Linked DNA regions of Drosophila melanogaster. The protein of the gene in region 3 interacts with the protein of the main gene of each other region in a pairwise test. Each region holds a gene or a part of one and is shown on either strand. Other genes may lie near its edges.

Region 1 (6,002 bases), on a different chromosome or scaffold from region 3:
GGCGCAACATTGCCGTCAAGGATGAAATCAAAGAAGAGCACGAGGAATCCTCGCCAGCAACTGGCATTCGCATCAAACAGGAGCCCTTGGATGAGGAGCAGGAGATGTGGGGACGCAAGGCGACAGTTGTTAAGGTTAAGGATGAATTCTCACCATCCAGACGAAGTTCACCCGTCAGAATTAAGCAAGAAAAACGCAGCAGCTCTAGGGATTTAAGCCCAGCGAGATCGAGTAAGCCAGCAAAGCGAGAAGAGAGTCCTCAAAGGGGGCGAAGAAGGGCGGGAAGCTCAGATCAGAGTCCCACCAGACGAGGGCGAGATGGCGATCAGTCTCCGCCACGCCAAAAGCACAGGGATTCCGATCAGAGTCCACCCCGAAAGGCCAGGAATGGCAATCAATCGCCAGTCAGAAAAAGGCGGGATTCCGACCAAAGTCCGCCAAGAAAACGAACGGGAAAAGCATCACCCACTCGAAGGAGAAGGGATTCCGATCAATCGCCACCCAGACGCCGCAGAAGTAACTCCGATCAGAGTCCGCCAAGGCGACGTAGAGACAAGGATTCAACTCCGCCCAGAAGGAGGAAAGATTCCGATCAAAGCCCACCTCGAAGGCGTAAAGCAGACGATCAATCTCCGGTGCGAAGGGAAAGGAAAGACTCCGACCAAAGTCCGCCTAGGAAACGGAGAGACAATGACCAGTCTCCAGTGCGAAGGAGGCGGGATTCAGATCAAAGCCCGCCCCGAAGACGCAGAGATGACAAGCAAACGCCGCCAAGGAGGAGAAGAAACTCCGATCAAAGCCCGCCAAGAAGACCCAAGGATGTAGATCAATCGCCACCGCGAAGAAAACGAGACTTCGACCAAAGTCCAACCAGAAAACGAGACAAATCACCACGCAGACGTCACGACTCCGACCAAAGCCCGGCCAGAAATCACAGAAGTCGAGAGCGCAGTCCACCGCCTCGTAATCGCTTCAAGGAAGAAAGGAAAAGTCGCTGGGCCAAGGCATCGCCCAGCAAATCAGCATCTCCACCTCCGACACACAAGCCGAAATCCACCAAGACACTAGATGGCAAGAAAGCTGGACTGCAGGATGCGAAATCGCTGAAGAAGGAAACCGACGAAAGGCGTCGACAAGAACATGAACTATTCGAGAAAATGTCCAGCGAAATTTCCGGTCGTGATGGCGATGTGCAGGTGCGCAGTACTCGCAGAAAGGGACACCGAGCACGAGATGCCGCCAATGAGGATCCCGCCGAGCAGGGCCGCAAAGAGGAGCACGAGAAAAAGAAGAAGGAACTGTACGATCGCTGGGGCAAGGGGTTGAAGCAAATAGAAGATCACAAGTCCCGCCTGGAGGAGATGGTCCATGAGGCCTCCAAACCGGTGGCTCGCTATGCCAACGACGAGGATCTGGACAGGCATCTGCGCGAACAGGAGCACGCCGACGACCCGATGCTGGAGTACATGCGCCAGAAGCGCAAGAAACGCGACCAGCAGGACAACAAGCCGGTGATGCCCAAGTACGAGGGCAGCTTTCCGGAGAACCGATTTGGCATCCGACCAGGATATCGCTGGGATGGCGTCGATCGATCCAACGGCTACGAGCAGCGTTGGTTCGACAAACAGAACGAACGGCGGGCCGTGCAGGATGAGGCCTACAAGTACAGCGTGGAGGATATGTGAATGTTGCAAGCGTTGTTTGCTTTCGTGTTGCAATAAAGATGTAGGCACTGCCTGTAAAAAAGAAAAGAGCAATTACATTGATCGTTTTCTTTGTTTTATTGAATTATTTTGGAAAATAAAGAATGTAAATAGGTAATATAATATTTAATATTTATTTACAAAAATTTGATTTTCGAAATGCCCGCCACTTTCCCGCCAAATCGACGTGCCACCTGCAACACTGGTCGCCAGCGCAATGCAACCCTGTGTGTAGAATAGCGGAGCAAAAGCGAATGGTAAATAGTCTTCATCTACACCTGCGACCTGCTCGTCGCTCCCAAAAAATCGTTTCAAAACCACGGAATAAACCGTGTAACTGGGGAAAACCCATTGTAATTATCAAGTTTAAAGTGTGCCGCACATTTTGGCTTCAAAACCAGAATAGGTAAGTGACATCATCTGCTAAATAGAAGCATTCTAAGATTTTTGCTTTGTAAGCAATAGAGTATCGATGTGTGTGTGTGTATGTAAATGGTTCTGCTTTTGGTTGCTTTGTTGCTGCTTTCGTTACAGCGAACAAAGCGTAAGCAACTGTATATGTGTATCGAGTGGGACGCCAGTGGTGTGTGTTTGTTGCCCCGCCCCCAATAATTAGCATAAAACTCTCTTAACCACAACAAAAACACCACAGTCGTGTTGGTTTGTGCATTTGTGGATTGGGATTTCGGTGGTTTTCCTTTTTTTTTCAGCTGCTTTGCCTGCCCTTCGCCTTCAGCCGCAATTGTCGGTCAGCCGATGAAAAACCAGTTTGTTTGTTTGTTGGCTTGTAGCTGCTGCTGCTGCGGCTGATTGTTGTGATTTTGTTGTTGCTGCTGGTGCTGCTGCACTGCAATTTGCTTGGCGCAAAATTGGCGCCAAAAGCTTTTCAGCTGCAGAAACGTGTGGAAATGTTGAAATGTGTACGTACCATTCCAATCAGGCATTTGGCGCATGCACGCGCCTGTCGCTCGCTGCAGCTTCCATCTCGCTCGCTCGCGGCGGGATGCAAATACCGCAATCAGCTTTCGTTCTATCTCTTTCCCGTTGACACACATACACACTTCCGCACATCGCATTCATTCATGACACTGCTATTTACTCCCCCTCTCTCTCCCCTGCCCCTCTACGTTCTTCTTTTCGATTCCTTGTGTGCCATTTCGTGGTCTGCTTTTATTTCGCTTCATTTTGAATTAATTGCACTTCGTTAGATTATTATTTTTGCACTCTAACAAAGAGCCGTTCGTTTGGATGTTACTTTGTGTGCAAATGAAGATTTAGCCAATTTACACAATCGTAAATTTAATTTGCGTTAGTGTATGTAAATCCATAATTTTCAGTTTCTATTTCCTTTTAGCAATCAAGTGCTAATTTGATCAATTATGCGCCTTTGATAAATAAATAAATAATGCAGTAAATTTATTTGTTTGATATTCTCTTTAATGTTGTAATTGTGCACTTTTCATACATATTATACTCCTTTGTTCTTAAAAATGCATAAAGTGAAGGTGGTTTTAAATTATGCTATAGACTTTGATTTTTTTAAAAGGTATTGACTAATTGAGTTTTTTAAACTTCAAGTTTACTCATTTTAAATGCATGAAAAACAGTTCTTTATAAGTTTAACTAGTTTTTAGTTATTTGTTGTTAACGGCAGATATTACACGCAATGGACATCGCAAAGATGCTAATTCTTTATTTCCCTAAGATAAGGGTAAAAATATCAAATATCTGTTTCTGAAAGTTTGCCTATTTTGCTTTTGAGCATGAAAACTTTCTTCAACTTTTCTTGGGCACTTTGTGTTTTTGAATGTTCTTTGCATCAGACAGGCTAAGATCAGTGCTTGGCCTTCTTCGACACATGGCCCTCTTAACCCCCCCAAAAAAAGGGGGAGAACCATAAACTGATGGCGCAGACACCCCAAGGAAACCTTCGCTGGTCCAAAAGCAACCCCCAGAGCAAGCTCAACCCTTGTCCTTGGCCCTTCCTTGTGCATTTCCTTGGCTTTTTCCTCGCGAATGGGGTGCTTCCAAGGACCCAGTGACATGACATTGTAATGGCTTAGAAATTTACACGCATCCCATGCTGAGTACGTGTGTTCCAAGCACCCCTTACAATCCACAGATTGATCCTCCCCCTTGGTCTTTGCTCGGAAATTGAGGGGTTGGTTTGTGTCATGCACTGTCAAAAATATTTATTAAATTACCAATATCTGAAACTCTAAATAAATTTCCCAATAGATGTAAAATCAGCACAAGAAATTTGCTATTTTCAAACGCCTTTTTTATCATAACTTGGCTAAAAATGTACTCACATTACAACATTTGATAGTTTTGTGCAGCTTATTATCCCAACTAACGATCTATATCACTTTTTTGTTCATATTTGGAATTTCAAAATTTTATGAATTTTGGATTTTTTGCAAGGGGTAACATCATAAAATTTTGAAAAAAATTTAACAAAAAAAAAAATTTTCAAATTTAAATGCCAATTGATTTAGAATTTTATAACGAGTTTTTTGAGATATGGCATTCCATATTGTGGCTGTTTTTTATAAAATTATGACGAAAAAACGAACTATTATGTGCGGAAAATTAGGCTAAAAAATTATTGCAAAATTTCATATTTACGAATACCACAAATATTGACTATTTGATTTTGATATATTTGAAATATTATTTATTACTGTTTATGTATGTACCAAATTGTTTGCAGTGTAGAATTTTGGCACAGTGATTCGGGTTCTTTAAAGCGTTTTTTAATTCCTTCACATGCTGGAACAACATAGGGCAAAGTTATTCAAATTCCTTTTGTTCGAAATCCTGTTGAATGGCAAAGGGAATTTCAATTCGGTTGATTCGATGGAATTTCCTCGGCACCACGTGTTCCGATCCTGGGATTTCCAATGACTCATACGCTTGGGGTTGTTGCTAGGGAAGCTTCTGAGTGGAGGAACTTCAGTTGGAATTGCCTTCTCGATCCTGGAACTTCCAATCAGTTTCTTTAATGGGAAAACTAGCGTATACTAATTCCTTAATTATTACTTTACCGACTTCAAGCTGCTGGAGGAATAGGAAGAGGGAAAGTCTAGGGGACTTACACCCCGCTAGGCCAACAAATAACTAGAGGAAAACAATGGAATTTTCATAATTTTCCTGGTCCATCTGGTTTTTCCCCCCTGCTTTGTGAACCTTATCCTCTTAGAACAATGCTGTGTAAAAGCGCCCCGCTGGAAAAACTAGTTTCTCCGCTTTCTTTCGATCGGAAAACAGAAGGCGAATGCCTTGTAACCAGTTTCTGCTAATTTGTGCACACGTGCAAATCCTTGGACAAAGGATCCATTGATAGAAACTCGTTCCAGCCCCCCGCCCGAGGCGAAAAGAAAAAAAAGGAAAGTGTTGGGTTCAAAACGCCGCCGGCCACTGACACAGGAAATTAAGGTTAATTCATCAAATTTTCGAAAAAGTTTTCTTCAAGAGACGGTCCGGATGGAAAATGCACTTTTCTTGGATCATTTGTCACTCGCATAATTAGATGCTTGTTATGACATCGCTGGGTTCAAAGTGCGAAGCATCAAGTGGTGTCGAGATGAGTTAGCATTTTAGGATCACTATATAAGAAAATTGGATGATTATAAATGGGAGTTTAAGTTGAGTTCAAGTGGTGTAGAGTCAAAGGATCTCGCAGGATCAACAGGGATTCTTGACGAACCAAAGAACGAAACAATCTTCTTCTCTTCTAATAAATTGTATTAAATCTGACAAAAGTTGTAGAAAACAACAATTAGATGGAATAAAAATATATAGAGCTATAATTCTCATATTAAATTTCATACCAAGAACTGACCTTAGATGATCCTCAGTTGGAGAAATCCTTTAACAACACTTCCTCCACATAACCATTTAGAGCTCGAGAGCTTCTGTTCCAGTTTGGAACCATAAATCAAGATCCATTGTTCGTTTCACGTGGATTGTTCTACTTACCGTACTGCTTACAGAACTTTGTAAGACAGACAATGGAGGGAATCCAAAAACAGGACTCGCGAAGGAGACAACCCGCTGCCCTAGATAACCATGAAAAGCATCCCGAGACTCTTTTTATTTTCATTATTACTACTTGCCCGAATGCCAAATTTGAAATTCCAGTTTGCTTTCGAACAAAGCACACGCATATGGATCAAAGGACATTAACTTGGGTGTTTTTTTTTTTTACGGGGGGGAAGCGAAGACAGCTTGGCTCGAAAGGATCTGCTCTGGCAATGGGAACAATATAAAATGGGAGATGGGAGCAGGACAATGATA
Region 2 (3,885 bases), on a different chromosome or scaffold from region 3:
AATGAATTCAGCGAAATAACGTTAGCTTGTTAGTTGCAAATTTGTCTAGCTTGAGTTGAAAGTAATTGAAAACTGATATTAATTTCAAGGGTTTGCTTATTCATAGAATTTCTTAAAATATTTACTCGTGTAATTGTTAATTAATCAATTTGTAATGGCCAATTCTAACTAATTTCATAGAATGAGGTCACAAAGAAAGGGTTTCGATGCATACCAAGAGAAAAGCCAATTGCAATCCTAACTTTGCTTTCACTCCAGCTAACTTGCATAATGCCTAACCATGTAGAAAATCAACGGTCTATGAGGAAGTTCGGGTGATCCGATGGAAAAAACATAGGCTGATGTTCGTCACTGAGTGCACCCGCCTCATATGCAGCCAACTGCATCGGGCTGTGAGTGAAAAATAGGAGCTATGATTTAGTCGAAGTATTCATGCTGCCGGGGAAGCCCCCTGCACATAACATAATTAACTCTTTTGGCGATTGCGCAATCGCTGTGCGCGAGCAGTTAATTACTTTTAATTTTCATTGATAGTACTTGTGGCAGTCCGACTTCCTATGGCGCAAATTTCCGTCGCAACTCCAACAACCCAGTAAACCACTTTGCACTTGTACCATGCAGCCAAACATCAATTTCAGTTAATTGTTGAGTTTTTTTTTTTGTGGCTGCATTTGGTTTTTTTGTTTTTGGCTTTTTTCTTCTTTTTTTCCAACTGGCCTAACATTGAAAATTGCATTTCTGCGCTTCGAGCTGTGTGTGCTTGCAAAACTCCGTCTCACTGGCCAATTGAACTTGAAGCTTTGCTTGGACTTTGTCTATATCTCCATATCGCCACATCCGATCTCTGTCAATATCATTAGCCAACAATCCACCGCGTTGAAGGCGATGCCAAAAAGCTTGGCCCAGTCCAAAATGTGGTTCTTTGTGGCGGGTTTGAACCTTGACGAAAGCCGCCACGAAATGAGAACGCCATGAAAATTAGCTAGACAACAATTAGTTGAACTTTGCTGGGTAATGGCACTCTGGGTAAATGGTTTCTCGGAAAAATCTGTCAATGCTTCGATGACTCACTTACTCCAGTGGTCAGACAAGTCACTGGAGTAAGTGGTTTTTGAGCCCTTGATTGAGCCCTTTTTTACCAAAAGTCATATCAAATAATAGATAATCTACTTTTGATAGCAGTACTTTTAGTTTTATTGAGCTAAAAATTATACCATAAATTTTATATATTATGATCACGATTAGGTTGTAATTAAATTAGAAATGATAATTGATCTCTTAATCATTTTATATAATTTTACTATTTTTCAAGCCGGTGGGTTAACTTAAAGATGTTTAAAATCCTAATATATATAGCATTATTATACATATGTAAAAAAATGTAATGGTTGCGATCCACTGACCTCCTAACAAATTTAACAATCATTTTAGATTAAATTTCGAATTTTCCAAGTGATAACCCCCAGTTAACAAAACCGGCAATTTAAATTAAATGCATAACTTTTGATTTATTTCAAAGTCAACAATAAATATTAATAATTAAGGCTTAATAAACTAAATCACATGATTGGGCTATCCATAGTCGCTGATTATGATATGATTTTGGACGGTCAGCAGTGCTGGCCACCAAAGATGAGCATCTGCTGGGAGAGGGCCATCTGCTGGAGGAACTGTTGTTGCTGCTGCGGCAGGATGTGACCCGGTGCCGGATTTATGGCACGCTGGAACACCGCCTGTTGGAGGATGTGGCGGTAGTATAGACTGAGGCGCACCTGCTGTTCCAGCATGGCGGCATGATGACTCCGATACTGCTCGTACTGCTGACCCACTTGCTCCTCCTGTGCCTGCTTGGCCCGCCGGCTGAGTAGGCAAGCCAGCGTGTTTCTATCGCGGCGCATCTGCTCCTTGGGGCTTCGCTGACGATTGGTGTTACTGCGGCGCACCATGTTGGCACGGTACTGGCTGACCGAGGATCCTGGGCCACTGGGTTTCGCCGCCGTTGACGTCTCCTTCTCCGCCTGTTGGTTCTGCTCATTATCCAACCAAGGTCGGAAGAATCCCTGTGTCTGACGGCGCTTGAAGATCGGCTGTTCCGACTGCTGAGTTTGGTTCTCCTTGTCATGGTCCACTTCCCGTTTCCGCTTGCTGACGGCAAACTTCTTGTGGGTGTAGCTCGATGAGTTCTCCATTTTTGTATTTCGATAATATGACTCCGAATGAGTTGTGGTGATGATGTGACTCGTTGGACGATCGCTTGCTGAATGATTGGCTTCGAGATTGATATCCTGGTTATAAGCACAGTAGGTAGGCGGTACAGGTAGCCACATAGGGAAATCCCTTTGTTTTGGGTCTGTCAACAAAGGGATTAGCGCATCCATTCCGCATTAGGTAATCTCCGTCCTGGATTAAGCAGCATATTTTATGACCTGCTCTATCACAGCGCTAATTGTCGTCGCAGGATTGCCTCATTATCCTTTTTTTGGTGTGTGGATTACCTGGATTATCGGACAAATGTGGCCACCGGAACAGGAAAGTTCTGGACCGAACAACTGTTATGCAGGCGATGCATTTTTTTATTGACCTGCATGACACAATTTGTTGTGGCACCGTGTGTGGTCCCTTTGGCTCCTGGTTCCTCAGCACACTTTGTTTTAATTCCCTGGAAATTCTCGAGGGTCCTTTGCCGAACACTTTTCCTCTAGAATGACATGGCATTATATGTCCTGGTCGGTGGTTAGAAAAAAGTGTCAAGGATTTTTAAAGACTGCTGACAGATGCGATTTCAGTTTACGGAGAAGGAATTGCATTCATGGAAGTCTTGAGAGGTGAATTAAATATATTTAATCCATTTATTAGTTTAGGTAGTAAAACACGCCTTTAAAAATATTTAAAGAGTTAAATAAACTTCGTACAAACATGTATACGGCATATATCATATATATAAATGAATTAGTAAAACACTATTCGTGTAAATAATTTAGTATATTAAGATTTATTTATCTGCGCAATTTTTAATCGCGGACAACAATATGATGATTTCATTGATGATTATTTAAATATAAAGGCGGATCTTATTGTCACCGTGTTTTAATTATTTTGCAAGCACTTTGTTCGTTCGCTATGCTGATTTGTTTATAAATTAAATAATTAAATCCAACTGAAATAAATTACAATTTTATTCCGTGTTTCCCACAATATGTCACTCGTGCCGAATCGATTCAATTCTCACTGTAGTCTGGCTATGTGAATCACTAGAATTACTTCACACCTTAATTAGCATTGCAAATTGCGCTTCCAAGAAATTAATTACATAAGATGTATTTAATGTTATATAATGGCAGAAAAACCAAGTGAGGTAACTCTTATGAGCTGATGCTTCCGGTCAGTTTTGGTCTAGAACAAATCCTCATGATGTTAAACGGCGGAAAAGAAATATCAGACTTCCAAATAAGATTCAATAAATAAGACCCCGAGTTAGATTTCAATCAATCAGAAACCAACTAAAAACCAATTATTACAAAATTCTATAAAAATTACAAGTTATTTCGATAACAATTAGTGTGTTTATTGTTTAGTCAACCAGATAAATAAATTAAACTTTAAAAGTAATCACAATCACTATTCAGCTTTTCTACAATAAGTTAGGGCGCATTGAGCAGCGCCCAGTCGTTGCACCATGTCCACCCTTCAAGGATGCTGGGTGGTGGTCTGTTGGCGCGGCATCATGTGCCTTGGCTGTGTGGGAGGCAGTGGCTCCGTGGAGGCCATCGCCTGCTGCAGGAAGCGCACATAGTAGAGACTCAGGCGGATCTGCTGCTGCAGATTGGCCTCGTGCTGAATGCGACTGGTCAGGTATTGTTGTTCGATGAGCTGCTGCTGTTGCTG
Region 3 (6,398 bases):
ATATGAAAAAGATAATTTATTACCAGAAACTTACCATCACTTCGAGATGAAAGTGCGGAGGAGAGCGCTGATCTTTGCTTATCCCAAACTAGGGGTTTTTTAGGGGTAAAAAGCGGGAATACAGATTCTCAGAAACAAAATGGCAGTCCTAATATGTGATAAGTTGCTTTCAACTTACGTTTACGACAGGGGCCATTCGAAGCTAAGGATTCCAATATGCGACTGTTAACCCATTAAGACAAAGGGCCGCGAAAGGAGTTAACGGCAATTCCCCGAAACCAAGCACGAATCCAAATCCAAACCACTCCTCACCCTTTTTTGGACGGGTGGGACGGGTCATATAAGGCAAAACCCCTTTCAGTCAATTAGTCGCTGATTTTCTTTGTCACCTAGCAGCGGACCAATATAAAAATCGCAGCCACAATGGTCGGAGGAGAGAACCCTTTTTTTTTTAAGGACCGCCGGTGTCCGAAATATCAGTTTATGGCTCCTTAAAAAACTGCAGCGGTTTTAGGGCCCGCGGACTCGGAATGAGGCCTTTTCGCACGAAGCGTCCATTATGCAATAAAACTTTGGATGTTTTTTAGGCAACAGCATAACAGCCTAATACAGCGCATACCGTGGGTGGGCAACCCGTTCGGCCATCAGGTAGATGATTCCGTAAAAAACGCGCCCAAGGTCACAACTCAAAGGATTGCACAAATATTGCATCTTTGGTTCGGAGCTCATTATGGCGAAGGAACAGCAGTCCGAGTATATGAATATATGGTTTTATGGCCTGCTGTTTTTTACGTTTTTTTTTCGCTGAATCTGGTTTTTACACCGAACTTGGCAACTCTTTGGCTTCGACTTCGGCCGCGACTTTTTATGGCATCTGCTCGGGATCGATTGGGCTGGGCTATACGTATGTCCAGGATCTGGAAGGGCTCGGGTTCGGGCCCGGTAACCGCAGGTAAGGGATCGACTCAATGACGGCGACGTGACGGTCCGAGTTTTAGTTTAATCCACCATTTTTACGGTTGGATTAGCGCACGGATTAGCGGATAAGTTCGCGGTTTTTTACTGATTACCATCGATCGATCCCTCTTTTTATTTGCAATTCACCCAATCCCCCTGAATGGGCAGTTGTAAAAAGAGAATGAATGAAAGATAGTATATAATGTAGGTATTGTTGATAGGATTTGATAACATTTCAGCGTAACAAATCTAAACTACGTTATGTCCTCGAATTAGCTGCAGTAAGTATCTAGCATAACATTTCCCATGGATGATAGCCAACTTTGTACCGCTACCCACTTCCGTTGGCTGTCGAGGCGACCGTTAGGACAAACAGTTAACAAAGTGAAACAACTTGTCGAGGATCCCACATCCCACGCCGCAGCGGAAGCCAAAGGGATAAAGGACGTAGAATCAAGGATGTTTAAGGAGGAGGGCAAACACGAGCAGTCAACACGGACGGCCACTTGTCGCAATGATCCTGGACTCTCGATTCTCGATCCTCGGGCTGGCGGCGTCATGAATCAAATGGGCAGACTGGCGAGTGTCCTTGCCAAAATTCCGGGAAGCCGAGTTTTCATTGCCGAAATAAGAAAAGGATGCGAATTACGCCAGCCGAAAAGGGCTGAAAATTGCAAGAACGCCAGAACTCGTCCTAATTTCCATAATTTGTCACGCACAATCCAACGAATTCGCCATCGCATGGATACACAGATTCTAGATGGGCTGGTCAGCAAAAGGATTTCGAAACAAAAGCGCAAAACAAACGGATTTAGCCATCACAACCCTTGGATGTTGTGCATCTATTATCAACAAACTAGATTCCATCTCTTTTCTTCTGCCAGATGCCTCTCTTTCTGGCCAGAAAAGTATGATTTGAGTGTAATTATAATAGTCTACGGTCGGGGGGTCTTTGATATGCGAAATGTTCTAGAAGATTCAGAAGTATGGTTTATTTCAGTGCTGAAGAGAATAGCCTACGATGTTTAATTGCGGTTTATTCTTTATATTTGAAAGCAATATATACAGCAGTTACTTAAATCTAAAGGTTTAATAACTTAAGATTTTTAAGATTGGTTTTTGGGTAAGGGTTTTATCAGTTGGATGTCAAAGCAAGTAAGTTAGGTACAATTGTAATAAAAAATCAAATGCACAATGCTGGTATATACAAAAATCTGGGGTTTCCTCAAACTTGGACTTATAACATCGCAATGAACGCCTATGAAAATAGAGCCGAAGTTTATAACTCTATATTGATTATGAATATTTTTAACCAATTCCATGAAAACGAAATGTAAAGCACTGCAGAGGTGGTACGAATTTTCCTATTTTTTCCCATTGAATATTAAAACCAAGAAAAAACCATATCCTTTCGCGGAAACTGATGAAACGTAAAGTTCGAAAACTCTTTGTACTTTCTTTTTAAAATTACGTTAAATGGCGAACTAACAATAGCACAAAGAACTATGATTTTTGCGAAAACTGCGAAAACCAAATGAGGGAAAGGGCAGCCGCACCCTTGTAAAACCCTTTCGAAAGCGGTGAGACAGAGAGGGCAACAGGCCAGAGCGGGACAGAGTCAGAAGCAAAGCCAGAATCACCCCTTTGCCCTTTGGCCTTTGTACCGCCTACCTGCTTCGTACCGCTTCGGCTGGCCGCTCGTGTCCGCCATTTCGATGTGAATGAGGCGTCGGCGCAGCCTCCGGATTTTCGGTATAAATGCAGGGGGTTCCGACGAGAGGAAATCAGTTTGCGTTCGACATCGTCAGCGTGAAGATATAGCAACATCAGAGCTAGATCACCAGTCTATATAGCGTCAATCAGTTGGATTAAACCCAGAGACCATACACCGAACACCATGCTAATGCACGAGAAACTCATGGCCGGGCAGTTCTTCGATCTCAAGACTGGTAAGTTGGCCACGCCCCTTGGTTTCTCCTCGATCCGTAAACTAACAAATCCCCTCTCTCTCTCAATCTTTGCAGATCGCAAGCCCCTGATGCACCACCACCAGTACCAGCACCACCAGCAGCAACCACTGCACCACTTGCCGCACAGCCAATTGCCGGTTCAGGGATCCTTGGGCCTACCCAAAATGGATCTGTACACGGCCTACGCCTACCAGCAGCAGTTGCTGGGAGCTGCCCTCAGTCAGCAGCAACAACAGCAACAGCAGCAGCAGCAACATCAGCAGCTGCAGCAGCAGCATACCTCCTCTGCAGAGGTCCTGGATCTTTCCCGTCGATGTGACAGCGTAGAGACACCCAGGAAGACTCCCTCGCCGTATCAAACAAGCTATAGCTACGGCAGTGGTTCCCCCTCGGCTTCGCCCACCAGCAATCTTCTGTATGCCGCCCAAATGCAACAGCAGCAACATCAGCAGCAACAACAGCAACAGCAGCAGCAGCAACAATTAGCCTCCCTGTATCCCGCTTTTTACTACAGCAACATCAAGCAGGAGCAAGCCACGCCCACTGCTGCTCCGCCCAAGGTTACACCAACCGCTAACCTTCTGCAAACCTTTGCTGCCGCCTCTGCTGCGGCCGCCGCTGCTGCTGCCGCTTCTTCGACCAACTCACCAAGACCCGCCAGCAACGCCAGCACCATGCAGATAGACGTTCTGGAGAATCCCCTGTCACCGGCTGTTGAGGCCACCACGCCAACCACCTCCAGCAGCGGCGAGGCGGGAAAGAACACCCGTCCCTTCAAGGCCTTTCCCCGGGATCCCTTGGTCATAGCTGCCAATTTCGCAGCCACTGATGTCCTTTTGGACAATCCGCGAGTGGAGCGCTACACGGAATACCGGAAGCGAGTGCTTGAGCAAATCCGCAGCTCCAACGGAGGATCGCGCACCGTAACCAACCCAAAAATGCGAAGGACCAACTCAAGAAGTGGATCCGTCAACGAAGGCAGCTCCTCAAACAACAACAGCGAAAGCGAGGATCGCGCTGCTGCGGAGGAGTCAAGCGACTGTGACTCCCAGGCGGGCAACTTCGAGAGCAAGTCCGCCACCAGCAGCTCCAGCAACTTGGCTAACGCTACTGCAGCAAACTCGGGCATCAGCTCGGGCAGCCAGGTTAAGGATGCCGCATACTACGAGAGGCGTCGCAAGAACAATGCTGCCGCCAAGAAGTCCCGCGATCGCCGCCGCATCAAGGAGGATGAGATCGCCATCAGGGCCGCCTATCTGGAACGCCAGAACATCGAGCTCTTGTGCCAGATCGACGCCCTCAAGGTCCAGCTGGCCGCCTTCACCTCCGCCAAAGTAACCACCGCCTAAAGGTCCACTCCTCTCTTGATGCGTTGAACGCGAGGATCCGAATCGTATGTCCAGTTTTTGGGTCAGCTTATCTGTGAATAGTTTAGGGGGCTCAACTTTCTTTTTTTTTTACACGCTCGCATTTAAGTACTTTAAGTCCTTGGAGTATACGTTATATTTGGAAAATGTATTAGCTGTAGTGCATCTCGCAATCCCACCAGTTAACTATCAATGGAATCATCTATAGTTGTAGAAGTCCCAGCTAGCTATTAATGTTTAACTTATAAGTGAATTTTTTTCATAGCCCTAAGGAATGAATTTCAATAAATTATCGAAAATAATTATCTCCTGGAATTTCTGTTCTCGTTGGTCGCCTCCTGGAACTCCTGTTCGCCTGGTAATTTAAACCGAAAATCTGTTAATTTTGCTTACAAAATTAGCATTTTTGTGGCAAATTTTGGGATTTTTGGTACCAGGCCAACATACTCAGTAGCGGGTGTCTACTGAAAACCAACTAATCGTTGGTCGCCTCCTGGAATTCCTGTTCGCCTGGTAATTTAAGCCGAAAATCTGTTAATTTTGCTTACAAAATTAGCATTTTAGTGGCAAATTTTGGATTTTTGGTACCAGGCCAACATACTCAGTAGCGGGTGTCTACTGAAAACCAACTAATCGTTGGTCGCCTCCTGGAATTCCTGTTCGCCTGGTAATTTAAGCCGAAAATCTGTTAATTTTGCTTACAAAATTAGCATTTTAGTGGCAAATTTTGGATTTTTGGTACCAGGCCAACATACTCAGTAGCGGGTGTCTACTGAAAACCAACTAATCGTTGGTCGCCTCCTGGAATTCCTGTTCGCCTGGTAATTTAAACCGAAAATCTCTAAATTTTGCTTACAAAATTAGCATTTTAGTGGCAAATTTTGGATTTTTGGTACCAGGCCAACATACTCAGTAGCGGGTGTCTACTGAAAACCAACTCAAAAACAATAAAACACCTTTTTTTAGGGTTTAAATCATTTATTTTTATTCATTAGGAATCGTTCAGTTCCTTCTGAACTTAACTTAATGTGTAGCTTAAAAGATATTATGGATTTTTTCCTTAATTATAGTGTATAAATATGTACCGTGGAGAGATTATACTATCTTACGTGTAAGAATTCATGGGAATGTATTCTCTTCAGACGTCGGAGGAAAATAGGGTCGACTAGATTATTCGCCGACGTGTTCGGGTGGGCGCTAAGCCTGTTGGCATATCGACTGCTGTGGAAGTTTATTTGGTCTCCCAATGGGACAACTTTTAAGTCCCTTTCAAGAACTCCGTTGGTCACATACCAGGGTAGCCCAGATGCATGTCGTGCCGCTCGCGATTGTATTACTCTAAGCCTATTGAGCTGAGTCTTAGAGGCTATTCCCCACACTTGGATGGCGTAGGTCAGTGTTGGATCTATAATAATAAATATAATAAAAAAAAATCTAAGAAGAAGTGTATTGAAAAGGTGTTAGATCCAAGTAAACTTTTAAAATATGAATTTCCAAAACAGTTTAAATTGAAACATCCAAATCAAGGCAACTTTTAAACTAAACTCAACCCATTTTGTATATAACGCTTGTCGAAATATCGGAATCTGTATAACGAAGTGGCAAGGAGAACAGAAAGGGCTTAGCTTAACTGGAGTAAAAGAGATAAATGAACAGACTGATTAAAAATACATAACGATAAGGTTTCGCGTTAGGAACAACATCAGAATGTCAACCGCATCGGCATCCAAGGAATCCACCAAGAGATCCAACCAGAGGCAGCGGCAACTGCAGTCCCAATACCAGTCGACCGCATCCAAGTTCAAGCATCAGAAGTCGCAGCAGCAGCAGCAGGGATCCTCTAAAGGTGGGGGCAACAACAAACGGAGGAACAGAGCAGGACGTTGGCACCAGGGTGCTAGGCAGCTGCGGCAGTCACCAGTCACCATTTGGAATGGAGGCTTCTGTCCGGGAATCGTCAGAGGATCGTCCCGGAAGCAGAGGAAGAGCTCTTGGTTGGGGGGAAAGATATCGGCCCAACACCAGATCCAGCAGCAGCACCCACGAATACCCAGCTCACTGACGCATTTCGCGGTTAGCAAGTGCTTCCTTGCACCACCTCCAA

The links.
Region 1: the proteins of gt (region 3) and REPTOR come close enough for resonance energy transfer, tested with the Drosophila melanogaster proteins (one study listed by BioGRID).
Region 2: the proteins of gt (region 3) and CG16815 come close enough for resonance energy transfer, tested with the Drosophila melanogaster proteins (one study listed by BioGRID).

Annotation. Positions count from the first base shown.
Region 1 is NT_033777.3:24,578,820-24,584,821, reverse strand, and holds the start of REPTOR (repressed by TOR), read left to right. Parts: upstream 1-1,957; 5' UTR 1,958-2,109; intron 2,110-6,002. Other genes in the region: CG13625 (uncharacterized protein), read left to right, coding at 1-1,685.
Region 2 is NT_033779.5:13,228,210-13,232,094, reverse strand, and holds CG16815 (uncharacterized protein), read right to left. Parts: upstream 2,264-3,885; 5' UTR 2,190-2,263; coding exon 1,611-2,189; 3' UTR 1,546-1,610; downstream 1-1,545. Other genes in the region: CG16813 (uncharacterized protein), read right to left, coding at 3,688-3,885.
Region 3 is NC_004354.4:2,425,309-2,431,706, reverse strand, and holds gt (giant), read left to right. Parts: upstream 1-2,739; 5' UTR 2,740-2,854; coding exon 2,855-2,906; intron 2,907-2,981; coding exon 2,982-4,276; 3' UTR 4,277-4,594; downstream 4,595-6,398. Other genes in the region: CG32797 (uncharacterized protein), read left to right, coding at 6,002-6,398. UniProt on the Drosophila melanogaster protein: Represses the expression of both the krueppel and knirps segmentation gap genes. Binds, in vitro, to the krueppel regulatory elements CD1 and CD2. It is required in the early embryo for the development of portions of the head and abdomen.